3 linked regions of the Macaca fascicularis genome follow. The protein of the gene in region 1 interacts with the protein of each later gene in a pairwise test. Links are inferred from orthologs where the notes say so. Each region holds a gene or a part of one and is shown in the gene's direction. Other genes may lie near its edges.

The links.
Region 2: the proteins of DCP1A (region 1) and PNRC2 interact in binary tests that used the Homo sapiens proteins (3 or more experiments, as listed by UniProt). The link is inferred for Macaca fascicularis from reciprocal best matches to the Homo sapiens genes DCP1A and PNRC2.
Region 3: the proteins of DCP1A (region 1) and RITA1 interact in binary tests that used the Homo sapiens proteins (3 or more experiments, as listed by UniProt). The two-hybrid records come from large-scale screens. The link is inferred for Macaca fascicularis from reciprocal best matches to the Homo sapiens genes DCP1A and RITA1.

What each region holds. Positions count from the first base shown.
Region 1 is NC_088376.1:116,474,527-116,478,486, reverse strand, and holds the start of DCP1A (mRNA-decapping enzyme 1A), read left to right. Parts: upstream 1-1,160; 5' UTR 1,161-1,186; coding exon 1,187-1,321; intron 1,322-3,795; coding exon 3,796-3,836; intron 3,837-3,960. UniProt on the Homo sapiens protein: Necessary for the degradation of mRNAs, both in normal mRNA turnover and in nonsense-mediated mRNA decay. Removes the 7-methyl guanine cap structure from mRNA molecules, yielding a 5'-phosphorylated mRNA fragment and 7m-GDP.
Region 2 is NC_088375.1:211,141,080-211,145,098, reverse strand, and holds PNRC2 (proline-rich nuclear receptor coactivator 2), read left to right. Parts: upstream 1-1,219; 5' UTR 1,220-1,395; intron 1,396-1,693; 5' UTR 1,694-1,711; coding exon 1,712-2,131; 3' UTR 2,132-3,681; downstream 3,682-4,019. UniProt on the Homo sapiens protein: Involved in nonsense-mediated mRNA decay (NMD) by acting as a bridge between the mRNA decapping complex and the NMD machinery. May act by targeting the NMD machinery to the P-body and recruiting the decapping machinery to aberrant mRNAs.
Region 3 is NC_088385.1:120,111,333-120,115,388, forward strand, and holds the start of RITA1 (RBPJ-interacting and tubulin-associated protein 1), read left to right. Parts: upstream 1-1,256; 5' UTR 1,257-1,707; coding exon 1,708-1,715; intron 1,716-1,878; exon of another isoform or gene 1,879-2,010; intron 2,011-2,382; coding exon 2,383-2,748; intron 2,749-4,056. Other genes in the region: ATP-dependent RNA helicase DDX54, read right to left, coding at 974-1,147. UniProt on the Homo sapiens protein: Tubulin-binding protein that acts as a negative regulator of Notch signaling pathway.

The sequences.
Region 1 (3,960 bases):
AAAAGGAAAGAAAAAATTAGCCAGGTGTGGTGGCGGGCGCCTGTAATTCCAGCTAAATGGGAGGCTGAGGCAGGAGAATCGCTTGAAACCTGGAGGCAGAAGTTGTAGTGAGCTTGAGATTGCGCCACTGCACTCCTGCCTGCGCGACAGAGCAAGACTCCGTTTCAAAAAGTAACAAAGAAAAGGGCCAGGCGCGGTGGCTCAAGCCCGTAATCTCAGCACTTTGGAAGGCCAAGGCGGGTGGATCACCTGAGGTCAGGAATTCGAGACTAGCCTGGCCAACATGGCGAAATCCCGTCTCTACTAAAAACAAAAATTATCAGGGCATGGTGGCGTGCCCCTGTAATCCCAGCTACTCGGGACGCTGAGACAGGAGAATCGCTTGAATCTTCGAGGCGGAGGTTGCAGTGAGTCGAGATCGCGCCACTGCACTCCAGCCTGGGCGATAAGAGCGAAACTCCCTCTCAAAAAAAAAAAAAAAAAAAAAAGGACAGAAATACAGAAAAAGAAAAAAAAATCCACTTGTACCTTCTGCTAATCAGTGTATATTCAGGGTAACTTGAATCTATGCTCCTGGGTTGCAATCCTCAAGCTTGGCCCAAATAAACTCTCTGCTTGCATTAACTTTGCCCCATCTTCTTTCTTTTAGGTCGATATATCCATACCTAAGATCTAGGGTAATTTTCTAGGCTTCTCGCCTCTCCCTTTCTTCCATGCTTTTCTGTGCTTTCTAAACGGGCCCAGTAGAGTTCTGCATTTCCACATTCCACAGAGGTGTTTTCCTTCTGTGGCCCCGGGCCCTGCCAGACAGCGAACCGCGAAGCCGGAACTTCGGCGGTCTCCAGCCTTTGCCTGGAAAGAGCTCGGCAAGCTAGCTAGAGATTAGATCCCAGGACCTAGTCGTTTTAGCTCAGGGAAGGGAAGCGCCGGACGCCAGCCTGCAAGCTCCACTGCGCAGCCGTGGACACCGCCCCACGTCGTAGGGCAGTGGACCCTGACAACGCCGGAACCCGGCGCCCGGTGCGTGCGCTTGGCGGACCAGAATGGCTAACGTACCGCCATGCCGCGAGGCCCACGTAGAGGCGGAAGTTGATGGGACTGACGCAGATGGGGGAACCTTGCCTCGATGGCACTTTCCTGTCCGCGACTCCGCCCCCGCCAGAGGGGCTAGGTTCCGGGATTCAAGATGGAGGCGCTGAGTCGAGCTGGGCAGGAGATGAGCCTGGCGGCCCTGAAGCAACACGACCCTTACATCACCAGCATCGCAGACCTCACGGGCCAGGTTGCTCTGTACACCTTCTGCCCCAAGGCCAACCAGTGGGTGAGTGCCGCCTGGCTCTGAGGACGGCCGCCCGGCCGCTGCGGTCTCTTAAAGGGGCCGCGCGGGTTGCTGTGGGGTGGGGGACACAGCAAGAGGCCAGGGAGGTGAAGACGGGGCCAGGGACTGGCGAAGAGCCGAGCCAGAGCCTGAGGGGTGTCGGGTCCACCTGAGATTGGGGGATAGGAGTGAGAGAAGTGGCTCGAGACATCCCAAGAAAAAGCCAGTGGAGGGGAGGATTGGAGCAGGATCAGTCCCTTGGCGTCGGGTCTGGGGACGTGGGCGACCTGCCTTCTTTGCAGATACATTGGGAGTTATGAGACCGGTGGGGTCAAAAGAGTGCCTGAAAGCTTGTGTTTGAGGCTTTGCGGATTATTAGATAAATTACATGTACATTGTCTATAAAATAAACACTCCTTCTCTCCCCCGGCAGACGTAAATGAGAGCCCCTTTCGCAGAGGTCATTTGGATTTAAAGCTTAAAATCCAATTAGTTTCGATTCTTGGAAGGGGGAGTGCGGTGGGTCTGGCTTTAATCGAACTACACAGTTTCGGAAAAGATTTCAAGGCACTTAGGAAAAGGGCTTCCATGTTCACTGGATCCCCGAAGACCTTTGTACAAACAAGAGAGACCCTGTAAATGTGTTTTGTTCCACCTATGATGCTGGTGATGTCATCTCTGAATGTTCCCCTCAGACTCAGTACTTTCTGGCTTTCGTGCACTGGAGAGGGTCCGAAAAGTTACATTCAGTCTGTTCACTGATTCTTGTTAGCCCCTGCTTGAAGCTTTGTTAGTTGTTTAAAAACAACTAGCATAATTTCCCACTTTCTTGTAATTGACCCTTCCTAATTAACTCATTCGGTTACAGGCTTTACACTTAGAAAATAGTATGTAAATGTTTGTTGGATTGAATTCACCAATGACTGGAGTTCTCATTTCAATAAGATGTGAAATCCTTAAACTAACAACTCTGGAAGATGACTGTAGTATGTCGTTTACCCTATAATACAGATGCGTAGATTATTTTTATTAGTAATTTATCGAAAATCATTTGGCATTTATGAACAGTTAATTCAGATGAAGAGAGTTTTTATAATCACTTTGTTTATCTTTGCCTCCTGGAAGAGAAGGAGGTATGGGAAGCCACAAGGAATAAAATTGTAGATTGTTTTTTAAATGTAGCTATTTTAGACATTGCCTTAGTTTGAAATTTTATGAATCTTTTTTCTTTTCTTGGCATATATGTAAATTTGTGAAATATGGATTGCAGACCAAGGGTGAAGACTTGGGGCTAGGACTTTTTACTAAAGAGTTTTTCTAGTTTTTCACAAAGGCTTTCAATATTTTAAAATTTTACATTGGGGAGTTCTGTTTTAAATAAGAAATACAAGCTATAATAACCTGAATTGAAAAATAAGCTGCTACCATTTATTTGGATCCTGGCACGTAGAGCATAACAAAAATCTTTTCTCTCTTTGTTGTTATTTTTACAGTGAGTTGTAACTTTACATGATGTTTTCTGGTGGGCAAGTTTTCTTTTACTGTAAGACAGTTGATTACCAATTTCTTATAGTAATAACCTAACGTTTTAAAGGTAAGAAAAAGCCTCTGAATCCTTAGGAAGGAAAATAATGATATTTAAGCTAGGGTAGTACTTCTGGAAGAAATCAAGATGATCAATTTTCTAAATTTTTTAATCCCAGCACATTCAATATATGACCAACATTTAAAATGTTAATAATGTGTTGATTACAGTAAAATATTTAGGTCCATTGTAGGCTGTAAATTGCAGACTAATAAGCTTATTTATTTTTTAAAAAACACTGAACTGTGTTTAAAACCTAAATACTCTTGTCACAGAAAATGACCTATGGTAAAGGCCTGTAATAATTACTGTGAGGCAGGGTATACTTTCAGTATTCATGATTCTTCAAGTTCTAAAAATAACAAGCTGGTTTTGTTTGGTAGGAATTCTTAACCACAAAATTTACTAGTTGTGAAAATGTACGAAAACTCCCCAGTGATGAAACAAAGTATCCTGTAAAAAAATTTCATTCCTTTCCTTTTTTAAAATTAACTTGGATAAACTTTAAAAGAGAAAAAATTGCAGTATACAGGACCTTAGCCTTGAAGTTAAGAAATCTGGCTAAAACATTTTAGCTATAAAAAGTGAAGGTTTATTCTATGATTTTCTCCTTTACTAATTAAAAAAGAAAAATGCTGCAGATACAGATATGTTGCTGGATTAAACATTGCGTATGCTTATGTATGCATCAGTAGCACTGAAAGCATACATTAGAAATGGTAACCACAATTTGTGGAATGAGAGGGAGACTTTATCTGTTCCAAAGTGGTTAATTTTATAATAAATGAAATGAAACAATTTGATCTTAAACGTGAAGCATTACTTCTCCATTGGGACTGTTTGGGGTCTGATTATGGGGAAAAAAAACTAATGGACTCATTGTCTTTCATAGGAGAAAACTGATATAGAAGGGACCTTATTTGTATATCGAAGGTAAGTTTTTAAAATATGTGTATTTGTTTTTAACAGTTTAATGGTGAACAATGTCAAACGGTTCAATTCTGTTGTACATTTGTCTTTGGAACCTTCCTGCTAGTCCCCTTCAAGTTTTCATCTT
Region 2 (4,019 bases), on another chromosome or scaffold:
CCCAGCAACAGGCGGCGGCCCGCTTCTCATTGGCCAGACCTGCGCTGTCGTGTTTTGATTGGCCGTGGAGCCGCCCGGCCCTGCTTCTGCGGTCGCCGCCGACTCCATTTTGTCGGTAGAGGCAGAAGGAGGAGGTTGGGTTGTAGAAGCTAGGGTGGCCGGCAGCTCGCTCATCGGTGTTCGTGGGCTTTGTCGGTCCGTGCCTCGTCTCTCCCTGGAAAGGGAGGGAGGCTTCGACGTCGAGAGGGAGCCACTGCCGCCGTAGTTCCGAGCTTGAAGTCGGTAAGTAGCGGCTGTGCAGCGGGCGCGGCCATGTTGGTGGCTGCGCTCCCCATTGTTGGGGGAAGGAGGCGAGCGGAGGCGAGATCCGGGCGGGCGCGGGCGGTCGCAGCGCCCCGACCCCTGCGGCTCCGGAGAGATGGGGCCACTGGGAAGCCAAGCCTGTGTGGCGTCGGAGGCGGCGAGTTTTCCGAGTTCGAGTTGTGAATGACTCACAGTCCGGAAATGGCAATTTATTTAGGGTGGTTTATCTGTTTGGAAGGCTCTCTTACCCCTTTGAAAGGAGGGGGCTTAACTATTTGGTAACTTATTTTCTTGGAACATCAAATTAAAACCAAACCTTGAATGTTGAGCTGTTCCCTCTAGGGAGACATTTTTATAGATTTAAGATGGGCTTAGACTGTTAGGGCTTGTGAGAACTTATTTTAAGACGGGGAGGAGGCGAGGGTGTTCACAACCAAAGGAAACACTGCGTGATGTCTACATGTTCCAAGAGACTGAAAATGGATGTGACGTGTGTGGAAAGATTGGAAAATTCTGGTGGGAGTTTAAAAACACGGTCTCTTTTGAAAATCCGCCTGAAGCCAATTTTTTGATATGACTCTTAACATTTAACACTCGTTATTTGATTTTATACGTGAGAGAATCTGAAGATCTTTCCCAGGAAAAAGATAAAAACAAAACTTACTGCGGGACTTCGAGACATTTCCAAAAATTCCCCAGGAGTGACTGGGTCTCAAGGGTGAAGAGTTTTTAAATGATCGTGGTTATGAGGTCAAAGCCATCTTAAATTTTCTACCTTTTAGTTCAGGAAGTAGCCTTCTTTACAGTCAACGATTTTTGTAGTAAATCTAAATGATCACTTTCTCAACGTGTTTTTGAAATAATGAAGTAATCTTTACTTTTCTAGCTAGGACTTCTCTCAAACTTGTGTGCTGAGGAGACTCAGATGTTGGCCTCAGCTCCTAGGCTGAACTCAGCAGATCGGCCCATGAAAACTTCTGTATTGAGACAAAGGAAAGGATCTGTCAGAAAGCAACACTTGTTATCTTGGGCTTGGCAGCAAGGAAGAGGACAGGTAGTGGAGATCCTGCAATCTGAAAAGCAGACTGAAAGGTAATCATCATAATGGGCAAACATTTTATGATGGAGCCATCCTAAACCAATTGTTTTTATTTTAAAATAGATTATGCTGATTTGTGGGTAAGCTCATTTTTCTTAGAGACGGTATAATAATAAAGGTTGTGCATATATTGGAGTCTAAACAGCTTGCTTTTTTAATTTAAAGCAGCTGAATAGCCTATTACTGAGTCTTGTTCAAAATATCTGGAGTTATAAGTTGGAGCCATAGAAGCTTTTTACAGATTTGAACTTAATGGAATTTTACTCAATATTTGTTTCCATTCACTTGTAGGTGACAAAGAAGCTGAAGATGGGTGGTGGAGAGCGGTATAACATTCCAGCCCCTCAATCTAGAAATGTTAGTAAGAACCAACAACAGCTTAACAGACAGAAGACCAAGGATCAGAATTCCCAGATGAAGATTGTTCATAAGAAAAAAGAAAGAGGACATGGTTATAACTCATCAGCAGCTGCTTGGCAGGCTATGCAAAGTGGGGGGAAGAACAAAAATTTTCCAAATAATCAGAGTTGGAATTCTAGCTTATCAGGTCCCAGCTTGCTTTTTAAATCTCAAGCTAATCAGAACTATGCTGGTGCCAAATTTAGTGAGCCACCATCACCAAGTGTTCTTCCCAAACCACCAAGCCACTGGGTCCCTGTTTCCTTTAATCCTTCAGATAAGGAAATAATGACATTTCAACTTAAAACCTTACTTAAAGTACAGGTATAAAGTAAGACAAATGTTAAAATTATGTTCGCGGGTAGTTGTCAATTGGTCTGAAACATTCGCTAAGGAATTAATCTATTTGTGTAGAACTGCTAATTAATGTAAAAAAAATAGACGATCTTGTGTGCACTGTGATACAATGGTAGTATCAGTGCAACTTAAACTAATGGTATTTGATATTAAGTGTTCTCAACTGAGTAACTTTTAAGTGGAAACCAAGTTTAGATTTGGGGAGTGGTAAAGGAATCAGCTTTTTCTATTGTTAGGGGAAGATAGTAATTTATCATTCATGGAGTAGATTGTTGAAAGTTGGTGAATCAGATTATAAGCTTCAAGCTAACACAAGGATTCAGAATTAGGTAAACATCTGAAAGTTTAGTATATTAGAAACACCCAAACCAGTAATATGCTAACAACCTGATGCACTGCTGAAAGAAAATGTGAATTTTTTGTAATAATTGCATTTTAGTGAATTGTACAGTGGGTGGAAAGGGCATTTGGAGCTCATTAGAATGAGACATAGTACATCCCAATGGCCCTGTTTATTAAATATAGTGGATTAAGTGTCAACAAATACACCAAAACCATTTTTTATAGAAACAGTATTTAATGGTCACTCAATAGCTTTCAAAATACATTTTTGTATTACAGCACTGCACAAGCTATTCTAATAGTGATCTGGCCTCATCATTCCTGCAAAGCTTGCTTTGGGGAGTTGGATAATGTGAAAATTTTAAGTACCTAGGGGAGAAAGAGCCATGTACATATCTGTAATAAACTTGTAGCATATGTAAAGTTTTATTGGCCTTTATCTTACAAAAATGGAATATTTTAGTATGAATTTGCTGAATGTAAGACCGTGGACTGTTTTTTATAGTATGGCCTAATTTTAAAGGTCCAAAATAATTTGTTTTTAAAGTTTGCCCTTGTGCTAAAGTGCCAGTGTACGTATGTTATACTTGATTGTAAACTACATTTCAAAGTAAATCCGAGTGTAGTAAGTTTTATAACTAAAAAGGTTTAAGCTGCTAAAACTATTTTTAAGAGATGTGAAATGCAGTATGGGACTATTTTTTTTTTTCCTCCTCTAAGCCCAAAGATTAACTGGAGTCCCTCCAACCTTACAGATTTTTGGGTTTCACAATCTTATAAAACAGGTAGTTTTGAGTATGGTGCCAATGATGTTTGGTTTTTGTTTGGTCAAGGGTAGGTGCAACCCAACGGACCATTTATGCAAAAGATGTAAACTCTTGCATAATACATTGATAACATGTTTTGCCAACCTTAAGAGTAAATGCTTAAACATAAGCGAAACCAGTAGAAGGTATGTGGGTCAGTTTAAAAATTTTGATTGTTAATGCCCTATTTTGTAATTTGGCACCTCTTTTGATGCCTAAGCAGGTTAGCAGATGCCTAAGCTGTATTTCTCCAAATAAATCAAGATGAAGTACTGCCCAAGTTAAATATTGATAGCCTAAAGATAAGTTTATATGGTACTTAATGTACATGATATGAATTTGAAGCATAAAATTAAATAAAATTGTTTTTCCCCATTGGCTTGGTTTTATTTTAAAAATGGTTTTGATTGCTTAATATTCTTTTTAAAAATGTCACTGACTTGAAGCTTGTAACATACTCAGAATACTCAAGACTCTTGGACTTCTCTTAAATTTCTGATTATAAAAGAACAGTCACAACTAAAATGTGACAGGACTGTTGGCTTGAGAAGGGGCAACTAGTTTGCTGACTGATACAGAAGATACTAGGATTTGACAGCTATGCAATTAAACAACTACTTGAGATTTCTCTCTCCCAGTAGTGCTAACAATTAAAAGGAAAAAAAAAAGGCCACACATGGAAAACGTCGCAAAGCTTTTCAAAGTTAATTCCA
Region 3 (4,056 bases), on another chromosome or scaffold:
TGGCTCACTGCAACCTCTGCCTCCCAGTTTCAAGCGATTCTCCTGCCTCAGCCTCCCTAGTAGCTGGGATTACAGGCGCGTGCCACTACAACTGGCTATTTTTGTATTTTTAGTAGAGACAGGGTTTCACCATGTTGGCCAGGCTGGTCTTGCACTCCCCACCTCAAGTGATCCGCCCACCTCGGCCTCCTAAAGTGCTGGGATTACAGGCTTGAGCCACTGCGGCCATCCTCATTTTTTAATTTTTTGTAGAGTCGGGGGCCTCCCTATGTTGCCCAGGCTGATCTTGAACTCCTGACCTCAAGCAATCCTCCCACCTCAGCCTCCCTAAGTGCTGGGTTTACAGGCGTGTAGCCACTACACCAGGCCTTTGACTATTTCTTAACCCTCGAGGCCTCAATTTCCTCCTGTGGAAAAATGAAGATGACAGTTGCCGGTGGTGTTAGCACAGCGTTGGTGTGAGGATTACATAATAAGGCTCGTACAGCTCTTAGCATGGAGCCTGGCACATAGTAAATGGTCAACAAACACAAACTGGCCGGGCTCATGCTAATTTTTAAATTAGCTTCCCAGAGGTTTGGGGGCGTCACTGTCTCAAGCCACGCAGTCCGTCCTTCCCTTAACTCAACCTCCCAAGAACGCTCCAAACTCTCAAAGTCAGATTTTCTGCACCGGCACTTTTCATTGGGCGAAAGGCAACCAGGATCCGCCCCATGTGCAGGAGGCAGCCAATGAGAGACGCGCGACCAAAACCCGGCAGGAAGGCCCCGCAGGCTCCAGCCGCGGGACCCTAAGCCTGACAAGCCCCGAGACACGTGCTCAGGCCGGCGGTCCCAAGACCGGTCCTCGGGCTGGCAGCCTCCCTCCTCACTCTCTGCGGAGCCCACTCCCCAGCTGGGGAAACTGAGGCCTCGGGGCGCTGCCGGGAGCCGGGTCTCGGGCCCCAAAGTGCGTCCCAGCCCCAAGCGCCTACCTTCTGGGCCCGGGCGTCATCTTCCGCCTGGATCTCAAACTCGCCGTCCTCCGAGTCGCTGCCGCGGGCCTGGGAGGCCGTGCCTCGGCGCTTCCGGAGCCCCTTCTTCTTCCTCCACTGGGCCATGGCAGCTCTCGACCGAGGGCCGGCCGCCGGGCGCCTGCCTGCCGCCATTCGGGCCTCGCGCTGGGAACGCAAAAGGGGGCGTGGCCTGCGGCGCGCACCAACTGCTTGGGGCGGGGAGGCGCGATGGCCATGTGACCTCGGCTGCGCTTTCGCCAGTGTCTGCGGCCCTGGGCGGCCTAGTACACCAGCCCCTGAGTGAGTGGCACCAGAGGCCCCTCGCCGTGTTTAGGTACCTCCTGGGCGTCAGGGGCGTGGCGCCCGCCCCTGGGCGGACTCCCCCCATCCCTTGGCGCGAATGGTCCGGGCCGCGTGCGCAGTGCTGCTGGCTGCTCCCTGTTTGCTGGGTGCTAGGTGCTGGGTTCTGGTTTTCTGGATGCGCGCGCCGCTCACACGTCGCCTGTGCCAGCTCCTCGGGTGAGTTGGTCCGCGCGCGGTGCCCCGGCACGGCCTGGGCTGCCGGCGGTCCGGGGCCCCGGGCATTCCGGGCTGCAAATTGACGCGGATCCCGGATGCACCGCGCTCCCCCGCGCCCTCGCCGGGGGGTCCAGATCTGGAGGGAAGAAGACGCGGGGAGGGGTCCTTGAGGACCCCGATGACTACGAACCAAGATGCTCAGGTAGGAGAAAGCTCAAAAATGCAGGGACCTCGGGCATTTTTTAATCGGGTCATTGAATTTGGGAGTCGCAGAATGTGGGGCAGTGGGGGCGGCGGTAATCTCCCGATAGCAGTGTAGCCAAGTACACAAGCTCTGGACTCAGATTTCACTTCCACCGTTTTAGCTTTATAGGTGTGACCTACACATGTGACTTCACCTCAGTTTTGTGATCTGTAAAATGGACAAATTCGAAGCTACTTCACAGTGCTGTTGAGAGGATTAAATGAAACAATGCTTGTAAAGCTCTTTGCAGGAGGTAGGCATGGAATCCACGCTGGCTGTCATTGCCCCTGCACCCATCAGTACACACAGGATATAGGAATGTGCCTGTCTCCCCTACCACCATAGTGCGTTTTCTGGTTGGTGCCTAAATGGGCACAGGTGTCATCTCTCCTTCACCCCCAGAGTCATTCTATAAATGATTGCCAGTAGCACCCCTTTCTCCACCATTTTGACAACTAAAAAAAAAAGCCAAAAAAATTTCCAAAATGCCCCCTGAAGTTGACAGCTCCCCTTTGAGATATTGGTTGAGAGAGAACTAAACCCTTGGGATGAGAACTTCAGAGACTACCAGTATTCCTCCATTAGCACTGCTGTGGCTCAGGGGTGCTACTCTGACCTCTCACAGGGAGCCTCGGAAACAGGGCCTGGCTGGCAGAGCACACCTGCTGTCACCAGGGACCACAGGCAGCATGAAGAACCCTGTGGGGCTCGCCGTCAGTGGGATGCAGACCCTCCGCCTTCAGCACCGCTGCCGGGGTGGCTACCGGGTCAAGGCCAGAACGTCGTATGTGGATGAGACTCTGTTTGGCAGCCCAGCAAGCACCCGGCCTACTCCACCAGACTTTGACCCGCCCTGGGTGGAGAAGGCTAACAGAACCAGAGACGTGGGCAAGGAGGCATCGAAGGCCTTAGGGGCAAAGGGGAGCTGTGAGACCACCCCCTCAAGGGGCAGCACCCCGACCCTCACTCCAAGGAAGAAGAACAAATACAGGTAATGGGGTAGGGAGGTACAAATCCTGTACTCAGTGCAGCCACCTGGATTCCAGTTACAGCCCTGATGTTCACCTACTCTGTGACCTTGGGCAAGCATCTTGACCTCTCTGAGCCACAGTTTACTCATGTGGAAAATAGGACCAATGATTCCTACCTAGGGGAATTGTTGATGGATTAAATGAGAGAGGGGTCTGCAGCACTTCGCACAGTAACCTAATACTTAGCTGTCAATAAATGGTAGTGTTGATGGTTGTGATGGTGGACTCCCTATCCCCAAATGTCACAAACTGGGCATCTGAGGCCCAGAGGAGTCAACTGATGCATAAGATCACAGAGAAATTTGCATAAGGTTATTAATATTAATATGATCGATCCTTGAAATGGCATAGATGTGGTGTTTCTGAAGTCATTCTGAAAATGGGTTTTGGCTCGGTGGGGTAGCTTATGCCTGTAATCCCAGCACTTTTAGAGGTTGAGGTGGGATCACTTGAGCTCAGGAGTTTGAGACCAGCCTGGGCAGTGTGGTGAAACTGTGTCTTTACAAAAAATACAAAAATTTGCCAAGTGTAGTGGTGTGCGCCTGTACTCCCAGCTACCTGGGAGGCTGAGGTAGGAGGATCGCCTGAGCCCAGGAGGCAGAGATTGTAGTGAGCCCAGATCACGCCACTGCACTCCAGCCTGAGTGACAGAGTGAGACCCTGTCTCAAAAAAAAAACAAAAAAAAAATTGAAAGTGGGTCTTGCTGCATTTTTATGAACAAGTTAGAAAAATAGGAACTAATGCAAATTGTCATTGTTGTTAATTAATTAGATTAGAATTAGATTATTTGGACTGTTTCAGATTAATATCAGCCTGGAGGGAGGTGTCTAGTGGTGAGCCACAGGACTCTATCCTGTTTATTGTTTACAGTGGTTTGGACAAAGACACAGAAGATGGCCGGGCGTGGTGGTTCACGCCTGTAATCCCAGTACTTTGGGAGGCTAAGGTGGGCAGATCACGAGGTCAGCAGATCGAGACCATCCTGGCTAACACGGTGAAACCCTGTCTCTACTGAAAATGCAAAAAAATTAGCTGGGCGTGGTGGCTGGCGCCTGTAGTCCCAGCTACTTGGGAGGCTGAGGCAGGAGAATGGCGTGAACCCGGGAGCTGGAGCTCACAGTGAGTGGAGATCGCGCCACTGCACTCCAGCCTGGGCGACAGAGCGAGACTCCATCTCAAAAAAAAAAAAAAAAAAGAAACAAGACAGAAGATTAGCACAGTAGTTGGCTAGGGCCACGATGACAAAATACCACAGACTGGGTGGCTT